2 linked regions of the Elephas maximus indicus genome follow. The protein of the gene in region 1 interacts with the protein of each later gene in a pairwise test. Links are inferred from orthologs where the notes say so. Each region holds a gene or a part of one and is shown in the gene's direction. Other genes may lie near its edges.

Region 1 (7,166 bases):
TCAGTTCAGGGGGTTAGGGCTGCACCCCGTGATTGTGCCATCTCAGGATGCCATGCTCAGCTCCCCTATGCCTGGTCCAAAGCCCAGGGCCAAGGTTTCCTGACTGGGACGCTGGCTTCAGGCTCCGAAAACAGTCGCTGCTTCCTCGTGGTTGTTCGTTCTCAGTCTCTGTCACTCAGGTCAACTCTTTAAATCTGTGTTTGTTGGTCAGGGTTCGTAGATTGTCATATATGTGATCAATTCACTTGTTTTTCCGAGTCTTTGTTGCAAGAGGGATCTGAGGTAGCGTCTACCTAGTCAGCCATCTTGGCCCCCTGTATATAAGTTTTTGTGTGAGAGACTGACTTGATTTGTAAACTTTCACTTAAAGTACAATAAAAATTAAAAAAAAAAAAACTTGGATTAATTTCTTGCTCTTGCTACAAGACTACTGTGGGTCTGCAGAGAGGGTCTGCTCATTGTAGTCGGTCAGGAATCCAGACTGAATGGGTTGGCTCCAGTGCTGTTTCGTGCCAGTCTCCTGGTCGTGCTGCCACTGTTTCTCTGCTGCTGCTTCATCTGTGAGTTCTCTGGTGTTACAGCTCTCATCATTTCTTTTTGAGTCCTCACCAGAATTTTCTTTGATGTCCATAATTCCACCAACAGTCTCCTCAAGGCAATCTAGGCTTTTACTATTAAACATTTTAGATCTCTTGCAGCCTCTACCCATTCACAGTTTCAAAACCACTTCCACGTTTTAGGTATCTGTTAGAGCAGCACCCCACTCTCGGTACCAAATTCCATCTTAGTCATCAAGTGCTGCTGCAACAGAAATACCACAAGTGGATGGCTTTAACAAATAGATATTTATTCTCTCACAGTGTGGGAGGCTAGAAGTCCATATTCAGGGCACCAACTCCAGGGGGATGCTTTCTCTCTCTGTCAGCTCTGCGGGAAGTTCCTTGTCATCAATCTTCCCCTGGTCTAAGAATCTCTCAGCACAGGGACCCTGGGTCCAAAGGACACACTCTGTTCCTGGCACTTCTTACATGGTGGTACGAAGTCCCTCTCTTCTCTGCTCGCTTCTTTCTTTTATATCTCAAAAGAGATCGACTCAAGACTGCCTCTAATCCTGCCTCATTAACATCATAGGATTTACAACACATAGGAAAATCACATCAAATCATAAAATGGTAGACAACCACACAATACTGGGAATCATGCCCTAGCCAAGTTGACACATATTTTGGGGGAATGCAATTCAATCCATAACATATGTTTAAGGTTTAACACTTGAGCAAGCCACTTGAAATTATAGAACTCACCATTGTTGATATTACTGGTGTAGTGAACAAATTATTTTTATCCCATCTCTCATCTCACACACTTATGTGAGAAGCTTTCCTCTTCAAATGGCAGCCAACTTCACTATGGAAGAACAATTTTGTACTCACTGCCCATTTCTTCAGTGTATTAGTTAAGACAGAAACCTTGGTGGCATAGTGGTTAAGAGCTCAGACTGCTAACCAAGAGGTCAGCAGTTTGAATCCACCAGGCGTTCCTTGGAAACCCTATGGGGCAGTTCTACTCTGTTCTATAGGGTTGTTATAAGTTAGAATTGACTCATGGCATCAGGTGGGTGGGTGGATATCCCAGAGTGAAATGGGAAAGTACATGGAAGAAAGCATGGAAGAGATTTTATCACCCAGGCTGGAAAGCATTGTCTTGTCCTTATTCTAGAAAATTTCTGACTGGTTTACCAGAGAAGTCAGCTTCCATGGCTTCATGCCACTACTGAATTTTCATGACAAACACGGCATTTCAAGGTTCATAGATCACCAGTGCAGGGAAAAGCAAGATTAGATAGTTATCTCTGTTCTTTTTAGTATGCATACAGATTTGCATAACCAAAAGATCAGCGGTTCGAATCCACCAGCTGCTCCTCAGAAACCCTATGGGGCAGTTCTACTGTGTCCTGTAGGATCACTTATGACTTAGAATTGACTCAACAGCAATGGGTAATAGTAATAGAAGGAGCCCTGGTGGCACAATGGTTAAGCACTCTGCTGCTACCCAAAAGGTCAGAGTTCAAACTCACCAATTGCTTCATAGAAGAAAGATGTGGCAGTCTGCTTCTGTAAAGATTTACAGCCTTTGAAACCCTATAGGGTTGCTATAAGTCAGAATTAACTTGATAGCAATGAATTTTTTAGTAATAAAAGGGGGCAGTATGGTTCAGTGGTAGAATTCTCACCTTCCAGGTTCCAGTTCGAGTCCCAGCCAATGCTTCTCAAGCATAGCCAGCACCCTTCTGTCAGTGGAGGCTTGTGTGTTGCTATGATGCTGAACAGGTTTCAGTGGAGCTCCCAGACTAAGGCTAGGAAGAAAGGCCTGGGGATCTGCTCCTGAATATTAGCCAGTGAAAACCCTATGGATCGCAACGGTCTGTTACCATTGTGCATGGGGTTGCCATGAGTTGGGGCCAGCTTTTCTGCAAACAACAACACAGTAGGGGAACGTTATGCTGGTTAGGTACAATCTCTCTAAGCAGAACAGACTGTAGATTTTACATACAGCTTTTGGGCAACATGGACTTCAGAGACTGGGGAATTTCCAGAGGCATTTAGGGTTTTTTTTTAGGGTTGACATCACTTGTAGAAGTTGGTTGCTTAAATGAGCCTGTTGTTGATTGGTGGCCCTCGGAAGTGTGAGTATTGTATGGTTTGTGATTGGCTGGCTATGAAAGTGAGGGGCTGTCATTGACAGGTTGGCTTTCAAAAGTGGGTTCATTGAGGCAATTGCCCTTGATCTATTGAATGGGTTTTGCTACTTATTACCAGGGTTCAAAGCAATGAAAATAACCCTTAATCATAGTTAAAATTTGTGAAACATCAGTGAACAAAGCTATTCCACTGTTTTTTTCCTCTGAAACTTTCAGGCTGCCTTCTGATCACTTCATGGAGGGTGGGTTCTACTGGAGGCTAATCATGCTTAGAGAAACCTGGTCCTCACTTCTGGAGGGAAGGGACTAAGCCTGGTTTATTTTTACAGTCTCCAGCCTACACTTAAAAAAACCAAACTCTTTGTCATTGAGTTTATTCCAACTCATAACAACCCTATAGGACAGAGAAGAACTATCCAAGGAGGGGCTGGTGGACTGGAACCGCTGACCTTTGGGTTAGCAGCCCTAGCTCTTAACCATTTATAGTATGTGTTCAACTTCTGAATAAGTGAAATATTAGAAGTCACAATCCTTCAGAATGTCAGAATTTTTAAAAGACAAAGGATTGGGCAGACAAACTCATGGGTTTCACTGATTGCCATGTGAACCTAGGACTAGTAACAGGATTTTTAGGTAAATGTTTGGCTGATGTTAGTACCCTACTCCTTAGGTCAAACTTGTGATGCTTGTGTTCCAGGTGTGTGCCATTTCACACAATTGTCAAGGGCCTCAGATATCTACCCCCTTTCAGAAGGATCATGAAAACTCTTCAGAGGACAGCTTGGCCAGCTTAGTGAGCCCAGACTTTGTCCTCCGAAGTCAGCCCCTCTGAGTGTCACAAACCTCCACTCCCTGTAATTCCACCGGTTTTCCCCAGCCCCCTTTGGACTGCTTTGTGATGGGAGGAAGATGGGAGCAGGATGGGCAACCACAGAGAGGAAGAGATGGCAAGTGTTTGTAGAGCGCAGGGTGGGGTCCCGGGAATGGAGAGGGCTCGGTGGAAACATAGGGTGCGGCCCAGGTGCATTCGGGCCAGGAGGGAAGAAGGGGTGCGGCCTCGGTGCAGTCGAGCTGGGTGGGAAGATGGGGTGCGGGCCCGGGTGCAGTCGGGCCGGGATGGGCGGCGCGGGTCCTCGCGGACCGCAGGAAAATGGAGGGCGGGCTGGGAAGACCGGGTGCCGGCCCGGGGCCAGCCGGCAGGCGGTCCGGGCGCTCGGGGGCGGCGCCCGGCTCTCATTGGCTCAGCGGCGCCCCTCCTCGCAGGGCGGCCCGGCCCGGGGAGAGAGGCTTCGGCCGGCAGTCGGAGGCAGAAGTGACCTCGGCGACAGAGGGGCAATGGTCGAGTATACGCGAGTGCGGGACTACGTGGCGCGGATCCGCCTGCGAAACCCGCCGGTCAACGCCATCAGGTAACAGACCTGGCAGGTTCACCGGCCCCCCGCTCGGTGCTGGTTTAAATCCAGAAACTGACACCGACTGAACCCCAGGCATCTGCGGGGACGTTTTTACAGGGGTTGGTTTGGGGACTCTTCGCAGAGAACGCTCATCTCGGTTTGACTGGTAAGGAAACCGAGGCTGAGGGGTGTAGCTACTAAGTAGGAGAAAGGGACTCGAACCGGCTCTGTCCACGCCAACTTCATGCAAGACCCTTCTGCTAGCTCACAGCTTTGGGTCTTCAGTAGTTTCTATTCCAAAGATCTTGGTTCAGTACAGTCCTGGGCCCTGGACCCTCACTCCCCAGCCTGAAATCCAGGCTGCCCTTAAAACATGTAGCTAAGAGTTTTAGAACTCAGAAAATAAAATGGTTTACAGTCGCCTTGAGTCAGAGTGGGTTGGACTGGCAACTAACAACAACACAAGGCCCCAGTTCATGAGAAGGCAGGGAGCATGAGCTGATCTGCTCCAAACCACAGGGCCTTAATGCTTCTGTGAAAGGTCCATGTCAGAATAAACCCTCAAATGGCATTTTCTGAAAAGCTACTGTGCAGTTTATCACCTTTTATTTCATCACGTGGTAACTTCTTTGTTAAACTCTCTAACCGAGATTTGTGCAGAACACTTGCAGAATTACTTTTAAAAGTGAGAGTAATGCTGCCTTTTTGAAAATTAATGACTTTATGGTACAGGTTTGGTCCTTCCATATCTCTGCAAAAAAAAAGTATGGTGACACTTTAGCCTTAAGAAAAGCCACCCATCCACAGGAAGCGGGATTAGAGGAAATTAGCATAAATAATCATGTTATACAAGGGCCTTTGATCAGAATTCTTAACTGTAGACTACTGAAGCAAAGAGAGACTGAAATGAGGAAGCCTGCTAATTTTAACTGCATTGTTTATTCTTCTGTTATCAGATTTGATTCCATCTTTAATGTTACTGTTATAGTTCATATTATAGTGTGAATGCTTGCATTTAATAATACAAAAAAAAAAAATCGCAGGAACCACTCCCACAAGGACAATATGTCCGCTTGATTGAAAAGAACAGTACGTCAAGTTTCTTGCTTTGGATGAAAAAACCCCAAGTAATAGGATTATGTATCAGTTTTGGACTTGTCTGTGTTCTGGTTAGAATTACCAGACGTTAGGACTCTCTGCCACACCTCTGCTCATAATGGGAAACTGTGCCAATCAAGGGAAACCCTGGTGGCATAGTGGTTAAGAGCTATGGCTGCTAACCGAAAGGTTGGCAGTTGGAATCTACCGGGTACTCCTTGGGAACTCTGCTCTGTCCTGTAGGGTCCTTATGAGTCAGAACTGAGTCTGTGGCCACGGGCTTTTTTGGTTTTACACTACAAAGGCTGGTTGGGGTGACTTTGCAGGGTAGCTGCCCCCCTTGCAGTGACACAGCAATCCAAGCTACTTTAATCTTTGGAGGATACCATCTCAACATGTGGCTCCCAGGACGCCTTGGCAGGGGGATGGAAAACAGAGCACCATGCAAAAAACCAAACCAGTTACTGTGGAGTAGACTTTGACTCACGGCAACCCTGTGTGTGTCAGAGTAAAACTGTGCTGACTTTGCAGAAGTAGATCACTATGCCATTTTTCGGAGATGCCTCTGGGTGGACTCCAGCCTCCAACCAACCTTTCAGTTAGCAGCTGGACATTTTAACCATTTGCACCACCCGGGGACTCCTGGAGAACCACACCACACTCAAAAAAACCAAACCCATCAAGTCAATTCCAGCTCCTAGTGACCCAATAGGACAAAGCAGAACTGCCCCATAGAGTTTCCAAGGAGTGCCTGGTGGATTCGAACTGCCAACTTTTGTTTAGCGGCTGTAGCTCTATTTTTGGTGTTGTTCCAATTGCAATCATTCTTTTTCTTTTTCTTTTTTTATTGAACTTTAGATGAAGGTTTATAGAACTAATTTCTCATCAAACAATTAGTACACACATTGTTGTATGACATTGGTTAACAGCCCCACAACATGTCAACACTCTCCCTTCTGAGCCCTGGGTTCCCTGTTACCAGCTTTTCTGTTCCTCCTGCCTTCTAGTTCCTGCCCCAGGGCTGGTGCGCCCCTTTAGTCTTGTTTTGTTCCATGGGCCTGTCCAATCTTTTGGCTGAAGGACGAACCTCGGGAGTGACCGCAGCATTACTGAGCTGAAAAGGTGTCCGGGGGCCATACTCTCAGGGTTTCTCCAGTCTATGTCAGGCCAGCAAGTCTGGCTTTTCTTTTTGAGTTGGAATTTTGTTCTACATTTTTCTCCAGCTCTGTCGGGGACCCTCTCTTGTGGTTCCTGTCGGAGCAGTCAGTGGTGGTAGCCAGGCACCATCTAGTTGTACTGGACTCAGTCTGGTGGAGCAGCCATAGCTCTTAACCACTGTCTCACAGAGCAATGGCTTGCACACTTTTTTGACTGACCCGCATAGTAACCCAAGTTTTACATTACAACCCAGGCCATGCATACATACAAATACATGGCTAAAACCAAAGTTTCTGGAAACAAAACTAACCCTTCCATATTATACAGTTTGATATAGTTTAGTCTATTTTCTCTCTTTTTTCAGTGCCAGTCACAGGCCACAGACTCGATGTGGTGACCTTCAGTTTAAAAGCAAGACAAAATACTATCTAAAAAAGACCTCCTGTGGTCACAGAAGCTAAAGGGTTTTGGTCACAGCACACGTGACTCCAGACTCCATTTCACCTGACAGGATCGAGGGAAGAAAATGAGTCCTTCACCCTGGGGATCTTTACATTGCTGCAAGGCTGTGGTCCCTTCCAGCTGGCTTGAATTCAATAAAGCTGTATCAGTTACAGCCATTTTAGTTTTTCTCACTTCCTCTTTTTGAGTTTTTGCAAAATGAACAAGGAAATAAGAAATAAAAGAGGAGGGGTTGGTTGAAATGGAAAAAGCCAACATCTTCTTCATAGTGGCACCAGTTGAGCCAATTTTTGGCTAATTTTAGAGCCATTGTTTATTTACCCAGAAGGAAATACATGCAGTTGGGACTTAAC
Region 2 (8,034 bases), on another chromosome or scaffold:
ATCTTACACCAATTAGACACAGAAGGTGGCTGAAGGTGGGGGAGGGTTGCTGGCTGGGCCTGGCACAATGAGGGGAGGAGGGGTGCAGCCCAGGAGGGATGAGTTTCAGGGAGAATCCTGACGTGCCACAGTTCCTGCTGGGCCCCCCAATTCTCCAGCCTCCCTCGTGATATCAGGAAGACATTCCTTCCCTTTTACAGTCACTCAAGGCGCCTCTGTGGCCTGTGGAGGTTTAGCAGCTGCTACAGCTGAGGGGAAGGTAGATGCTGGGGGAGCTTGGGAGATGCTGCTTGGGGGAGGGGCTCTGGGAGCAGGGAGGCAGAGGGATACCAGGGAGTGAGTCCCCAGGAAGGGCTCACTGTTCCCATCACTCGGCCCAGAACATCAAACCTGAGGGGACCTTGGAGATGACCCGGCCTGGTCCCTTCTTTTATTCCTGGGTCACTTCAGGGCCAGAGAGGAAATGAGACTTGCATAGATGGTTAGTCAGTGAAGCCCTAGTATGAGCACCCAGATCCTAAATGGCCTCTGGTTGACCACCCCACCCCACCCCTACTGCCATGCTTGGGTCATCAGCTTTGGCTCTTGGTGGAGGGTAGAACTCATACCTTTTGGAAATGTCACCTGTTCTACCATTCCCAGCTTCTCTCCCTTCCCTGAACTAACTACCTCAGGGCTTCAAATATACGGACACATTTTCTGCCAGCAGAGCTGTCCACTGTCCCTCGATGGAGACATGTTAGGCCTCAATGATTCCCTGTGGAATGGAGTGGGCTGCCTTGAGACAGCAAGTTCCCAGGTACTAGAAGGTTCCAAGCTGGACAAGTGCTTGCTGGAGTCCCTTAACAGAGAGGTGGGAGCATGGGACTGGTCAACCTCCACGACCTGTGATGTTACGTACAACCTCAAGCTTCTAAGACTCTATAAGGTCCAGGTAATCTGGGAAAATTTCTAGCAGAGAGCAGGACCAACTTCCTTCCTTAATTCCACAAAATTTCTTGAGGACGCCCACTGTGCAGGGTACCATGCCACACATACAAATTTATACATTGTACCGTTTTCTGACAAACACTGAATGAAAGGGTCTGTCTCAGCGAACCTTCCCATTTCTAGTATCAATTGCTAAAGTAAGAGATACGATCACAAAATAATGTTACTGTTCTATTAAAATAAACAACAGAAATAACTTACTAACATTTATATATCCAAAAGTGTGTCCCGAGGATGTTCACAGCAGTGTTGTTTATAATCGCAAAAGACTGGAAACAACATAAATACCTCTCAGTAAGGAACTGGCCAAATAAATTATGGCAAATCTATACAGTGAAATATAAATGAACATATTAAAAAGAATGACTCAACTGTCATTGCACTAAAATGGAACAATCTTCAAGGTATATATTAAAACCTTAGCTCAGAATAGTGTGTAAGTGTTAAAAAAAAAAAAAAGTGAGAAGGGGTGTTTTATATATAACATGTTTGTTTATGCATAAACTATCTCTGGAAGAAGGAAAAAAACCAAACAACCCAAACTATTGTCTTTGAAGAGAGGTGTGGCTGGGTGTCAAGAGTGGGAGGGAAACTCACTTTTCACTTTATACCTTTTTGTGCCTCTTGAATTTTTTATCATGTACTTTACCCAACCAGATAAATTATTATTATTTTTAGCATGTCCAATTCTAAGTAGTCCCCTTAGGAGGCTGTTATTCCAGCGATGCTGCCCAGCTTAGGACATGTTTTGGAGGCTCCTCTTTCACCTGCTTTCCAAGCCTGGGGGTGGTGTTTTGCTGCCCTCCATGGTAGCAAATCCTAGGGGTGGAACTGAGTTTTGGAAGGAGCCCCAAGTGGTTTGGAGCCAAGTCGCTAGATGTTTATTTTGACTAGAGAATAAATGGCATTGTTTATGTATTTTTTTTTCTGTCTCATTTTACCAAGGAACCAGCTTTGGGCTGGTCTGAAGGCCAATTTCCTCATATGGTCTGGGGACCATTCACAGAAAGGAGCCCCAGAAATGTTCTGCCCTCCGAAGCATCATGGAAGTGGGTATAACCCATTGCTGTCCTGTAGATTCCAACTCCTATTGACCCTGTAGGACAGAGTACAACTGCCCCATAGGGTTTCCAAGGCTGTAATCTTTACAGAAGCAGATTACCACATCTTTCTCCCAAGGAGTGGCTGGTAGGTTCGAACCGCTGACCTTTCAGTTACCAGTCCTGCACTTAATCACTGAGTCATCTCAGGGCTCCTTGGAAATGGGTGTACCGTCTCCAAAAGTAGATTAGTCAGGATTCTTTTGGCTGCAAGTAACAGAAACCCAGCACAAAGGACCTTAAGGAAAAAAAAAGGAGAGTTTTTTGGCCCCAAAGCCAAGAAGGATGCTGGGAAACTCCCGGAATCAAGGGAAGAGCTGCAGGAACCAGAGGCCCAGGGGCTGGAATTGAGGACTTCCTGCTCCGGTTTTCTCACCTTCTCCAGGTGTCTCTGCTTCTCCTTGTATGTTGACCTCTCTTTCCTCCTACTGCAGAAAGGTCTCCCCAGGGAGCAGGAAACATGGCTGATGCAGGCTCCAGTTTAGAAGTCCCAATTCCATCTATAAATTCCAGGGAAGGTCTCTGATTGGCTCTGCTCAGGCCCAGGCCCATCCCTTGAGCCAATCGCTGAAGTCAGAGAGATGCAGTAATAAGACTAACTGGGATCTGAGTCACATGGCCAGTCCTGTTGGGGGAAGAAAGGGGTACAGCATTTGTTCCCAAAATAAGTAGATGATAAAGAAAACTTTCAGGCTACTTTGAACGACAATGACTCTGCTGCCTGGGATGTGTTAAGGATCCAGGCAGCCTCCAAGATCCTCCAGGAGCATAGGATCTAGTTTGGGAGATGAGACACAAACATAACCAGAACATAACAGCTCGAAGACTGGATAAGAATATTTGGAACTCCCCACCCACCTCATAAGCTTGTCTCATGGATAAAAATTAGACACTTAATGAGAAAGGACTTTAAAAAGACGACAATAATGACGCCCTTACAGTTCATCTAGGACATTCACAACTGCCCCAAGGGCAAAGCACCACCCTGGAGTCAGACTCTCTCAGCTTCCTCAGCTATAAAGTAGGAATGATACTAGTTCCTACCTCATAGGGTTGTTGGAGACTTGGGGACCGTGGGTATGTCGAGCACTTAGCAGAGTGGCACACAGTAGGTGTTCAATAACCAGCAACCAGATACCATGGAGTTGATCCCAACTCATGGTGACCCTGTGTGTGTCAGAGTAGAACTGTGCTCCATAGGGTTTTTAATGGCTGATTTTTCCGAAGTAGATTGCCAGGCCTTTCCAGGTGCCTCCGGTTAGACTCGACTCTCCAACTTTTCAGTTAGTAGCCAAATGCCTTAAATGTTTGCATTACCCGGGGACTCCAGGTGCTCAGTACATGTTATTATTTGCATTATCATTACCTGAACCTCTAAAGCCCCATAAGATAGGAATGGTAAAGCTGACCATCCTCATTTAATAGATGAGGACACTGAGGCTTAGGAAAGTGAAGGACTTCACTTGTTGGTGATGGCAGAGTTGGGGTAGGACCAGCTATGGGCTCCCAATCCAGTGCTCTGTTTCCACGGTTTGCATTCCAAAAGGGTCAGTCCTAAGAGGGGCCTGTAGTGTGCCAGGTGGAGGTGCAGAGACACAGCCAGTGTTCCTGGAGAAGTGTGGGCATCCCTAAGGGTCAGGGAACACCTTGTACTGAGGGGGTTATGAAGTAATGGCCACACTCTTTGGGACTCCCTGCCCGCTGGGGCCTGGGGCATTAAGAGAAGGGAGCCGGAAGTGATTGGGCCCTGGCACCCCAAGCCTTCCCTCGACCACTCTGACACCCATGCCACCTCAGGTAGCCAGCCCCCACCCCCAGCTTGCTCCCCTTCTGTGTGCTTGTTTCCCGGACGGATGCATTCTCCTCTATAAATACCAGCTCTGGTATTTTGGGTTGGCAGCTGTTGCTGCCAGGGAGATGGCTGGGTTGACATGCAGCTCCTGACAAAACACAAATCCCTGGTGTGTGTGGGTGTGGGTGGTGTGAGTAGGGGGATGAATCAGAGAGGGGGCTGGGGGGCACCCAAGGAGACAGGAGCCAGGGAAGTTAGTGGTGTGGGGGTGGGAGTATACATACAAACTGGGAACTGAAAGCACACCAGACCCTCCTTCTGGAAAGCATCCTGTTGTTTATAACCTTGAGGCCCCGCCCTCATCCATGGATGTTGTGTGTTGTGTATGTGGTGGTATACACCAGTTCAGTGGGAAACTGAGGCCTAGTGCTAGAACCCAGGTGCCAGTGGACATAAGTGGGCAGGCAGGGCTGAGGTTCCTATTAGGCTTTCTGGGAGCATGGCTCTCTGCTGGCTCAACACCCTCCCAACCTCCCTGCCTAGAGACCCCCAAACACAGGGCCTTCCTGGTAGACCCCTGTTCTTTGCCTGAGCCCTCCCAAACCTCTCTCTGCAACTTCTTGCTAATCTTTAGAAATAAAGTAGTCTGGGGCCTTTCATGGGAACAGGCCTTGTCCCTTCAGGAAATGACCCCAAGTCTCTCCTTAGAGCAAAATGGGACCCTCAAACTAAATGGTAGACTCCACCCAGGGTTCTCCCCTGACCACCCCCAAGGCAAGGCAGGCACTGGAGGGCTGACAGGGGCCCCCCTGGCGGTTCCAGCCAGGCCGTGCTGGTGAGGCACCGGCAGGCAGGCCTGCTACCTTTGGCCCTCCTGGGTGGATGGGCCTCTCTCGCGCACCCCTCACAGGCCCCCCCCCAGCCAGCCAGCTGGGGGCGCAGGCCTCTGCGGGGGAGCTGGCCTCCCCGCCCCCACGGCCAGCAGCCGCCCTTTCCTGGCAGGACAGCGGGATCCTGCAGCTGTCAGGGGAGGGGCGCGGGGACTGATGTCAGGAGGGATACAAATAGTGCGGAAGGCCGGGGGCCCTGTCTCCCCTCGCCGCAGCCACTCTCCGGCAGCCTCCCAGCCTCGCAGCCCGCCGCTACCATGAGCCAGGCCTACTCCTCCAGCCAGCGCGTGTCTTCCTACCGCCGCACCTTCGGCGGCGGGTCGGCCTTCCCGCTCGGCTCCCCGCTGAGCTCGCCCGTGTTCCCGCGCGCGGGCTTCGGCACCAAGGGCTCCTCGAGCTCGGTGACGTCGCGCGTCTACCAGGTGTCGCGCACGTCGGGCGGGGCTGGGGGGCTGGGGTCGCTGCGGGCCAGCCGGGTGGGCGCGAGCCGGACCCCCTCGTACGGTGCGGGGGAGCTGCTGGACTTCTCGCTGGCCGACGCCGTCAACCAGGAGTTCCTGACCACGCGCACCAACGAGAAGGTGGAGCTGCAGGAGCTCAATGACCGCTTCGCCAACTACATCGAGAAAGTGCGCTTCCTGGAGCAGCAGAACGCGGCGCTCGCGGCGGAAGTGAACCGGCTCAAGGGCCGTGAACCCACGCGCGTGGCCGAGCTCTACGAGGAGGAGCTGCGCGAGCTGCGGCGCCAGGTGGAGGTGCTGACCAACCAGCGCGCGCGCGTCGACGTCGAACGCGACAACCTCCTCGACGACCTGCAGCGGCTCAAGGCCAAGTGAGGGCAGCGCGCCTGAGGCAGGCCTGGGAGGGAGTAAAGCGGGCAGTCATGAAAGGGTTATTAACCATCCTGTAATAGGTGTTGAGTTGACAACTTAAGGGGGTTCTCAACTGTCAGCACACACCATCTCCCAGGCCCTGGGGCTCCTCTCCTGCCCCATGCGGAGAGCATCGCCTACCTATGGGCCCCAGGTCTCTCCCCTCTGCTCCCACCCTGCAAATGAGTTTTCTTGGGGAGATCATGGGGTGGACAAGGGAGACTTTGCGAGCCTGGGCACCCTGTTGGGCAGCCCCTTGAACAAGCATCTGAAGTGCCAGGGTGATCTTGATGGGGTCAGGCAGAGAGGTGGATGAGGTCTGGAGGAGGCTGTACTGCAGTGCTGAGGAAGAAGGGAGGTGATGGGAGGCAAGAACTCCAGGATAGGCTGGGCAGGGCAGCTGCTGCCCTGGAAAGTGTAGGAGGAAATCCAAGCAGGAGCTCTCAGCTCATTTGTGATGGGGCCCTTGAGAAGGAGGTGGAGGGGAGCCTGGCCCCTGTGCCTGGATGAGGCTGTGCCATTTCACAAGGTGCATGGGATAAACCAGAGGGAGGAGGGGGAAGTGGGTAGGGGGCTGCAGCCAGAAGAAAACTTGAGAAGACCAGCGAGGTAGGCCCCACCAGGGTCCAGGACAAAAAGGCAGCAATTATGAAGCAGGTACTGAGGGCACTGCCTCTGACAAGCTAGCAGAATCACCCCCTGGCCTCCCAGGTCACAAATATTAATTGAACGCCTACATGCGGCAGCCTAGGGCTGGCAACCAGGAACAAAGAGGTGGATAAAATAGACACAGTTCCTAACCCCAGGGAGGTCACAGTCTGGTGAGGACATAGACTTCAAGGGTGTGGCCCCAGGGCAGAGATTGGGCCACTCTCCCACCCTCCCTGGGTGGGGCAGCACCTCTGCCACTCTCCTTCTGAGCCTCCTGTCTCCTTGCCCGGCAGTCAGGCCTCCTCCCTCTGTCCTGAGTACACTCTCTGGGCAGCCTCCAGCCAGTCCTCTCCCCCGCCTGCATTATCCCCCACTGACTGTCTGTCCTTCTGCCTGTCTGTCCCTGCCAGGCTGCAAGAGGAGATCCAGCTGAAAGAAGAAGCAGAGAACAATTTGGCTGCCTTCCGAGCGGTGAGCTCCCTTCACGCCCCCTCCCATGCCAGCCTGCCCCCTCTGTCCCTCCCGCTGTGGCCCTTATCTCCTTCTACCCTGCCTGGATGATCAGTGACACTGCCCCGTTCTCGGCCTCTCCCAGGACGTGGATGCAGCCACTCTATCTCGCATTGACCTGGAGCGCAGAATCGAGTCTCTCAACGAGGAGATAGCGTTCCTCAAGAAAGTGCACGAAGAGGTATGCCCTTGGCCCTCTGTCCTAATTCCTTGGGCCACCGGGAAGCAGGTGGGAAGTAGGGGTGGTGCTGGGCAGTGTGAGAGCCTGGTGGGGGACTGAACCCTAGCCACGCCCTGCAGGAGATTCGTGAGCTGCAGGCCCAGCTTCAGGAGCAGCAGGTCCAGGTGGAGATGGACATGTCCAAGCCAGACCTCACCGCTGCCCTCAGGGACATCCGGGCTCAGTATGAGACCATCGCAGCCAAGAACATCTCTGAAGCTGAGGAGTGGTACAAGTCAAAGGTGGGTTGCCTGGCCCAGGGACTCTGGTACCTCTGTCCCCCTCCATCCCAGTTTGGAGGTGCCACCGCTGGCTCCATCTCTGGGGAGGAAGGTGGCCCCAGAGCCTCCACATTCTCTACCCCTACGTGCCCCTGCATCCTTCTCGTCTCCGGACCCCTCTCTCTGCCCTTAGGTGTCTGACCTGACCCAGGCAGCCAACAAGAACAACGACGCACTGCGCCAGGCCAAGCAGGAGATGATGGAGTACCGACACCAGATCCAGTCCTACACCTGCGAGATTGACGCCCTCAAGGGCACTGTGAGTCCCCTCCTACTTTGCCTGGCCCAACCCCTTCCTGCCTGCTGCTCCTGCCCTCCCTTTCCGTGACCTTGAGCCCATCACTACCATCTCTGAGCCCCCATTTCCTCAAGTCTGCAACGACAGGGGTTAACACAGGTGGATTCCCAGCTGGGCTCTAAGGAATCAGAGGGTTCCTGAGGGCGTCTCCCTCTGTTGAGAAGGGGACTCTGAACATAGACGCTCTCCCTAAATCTGTTCTATTCCCTGAATGTCCACGTAAGACTTCATTTGAGCTCAGGGTTCCCTGGCTGAGAGGGATTTGACGACTCCTGGACCTGACCACCTTGAGGTGCACAAGCCCCAAGATTCTGTCTCTCTCCATCCTGGGCCCCTTGTGTCCTCCTCCCTAGACAGCCTGTCCTTGACCTGAGTCTCTCTCCCCTGCAGAACGATTCTCTGATGAGGCAGATGCGGGAGCTGGAGGACC

What was found.
Region 2: the proteins of EHHADH (region 1) and DES interact in binary tests that used the Homo sapiens proteins (3 or more experiments, as listed by UniProt). The two-hybrid records come from large-scale screens. The link is inferred for Elephas maximus indicus from reciprocal best matches to the Homo sapiens genes EHHADH and DES.

What each region holds. Positions count from the first base shown.
Region 1 is NC_064819.1:29,837,498-29,844,663, forward strand, and holds the start of EHHADH (peroxisomal bifunctional enzyme), read left to right. Parts: upstream 1-3,978; 5' UTR 3,979-4,036; coding exon 4,037-4,110; intron 4,111-7,166. UniProt on the Homo sapiens protein: Peroxisomal trifunctional enzyme possessing 2-enoyl-CoA hydratase, 3-hydroxyacyl-CoA dehydrogenase, and delta 3, delta 2-enoyl-CoA isomerase activities. Catalyzes two of the four reactions of the long chain fatty acids peroxisomal beta-oxidation pathway.
Region 2 is NC_064824.1:117,994,074-118,002,107, forward strand, and holds the start of DES (desmin), read left to right. Parts: upstream 1-4,954; 5' UTR 4,955-5,029; coding exon 5,030-5,604; intron 5,605-6,705; coding exon 6,706-6,766; intron 6,767-6,890; coding exon 6,891-6,986; intron 6,987-7,105; coding exon 7,106-7,267; intron 7,268-7,439; coding exon 7,440-7,565; intron 7,566-7,994; coding exon 7,995-8,034. UniProt on the Homo sapiens protein: Muscle-specific type III intermediate filament essential for proper muscular structure and function.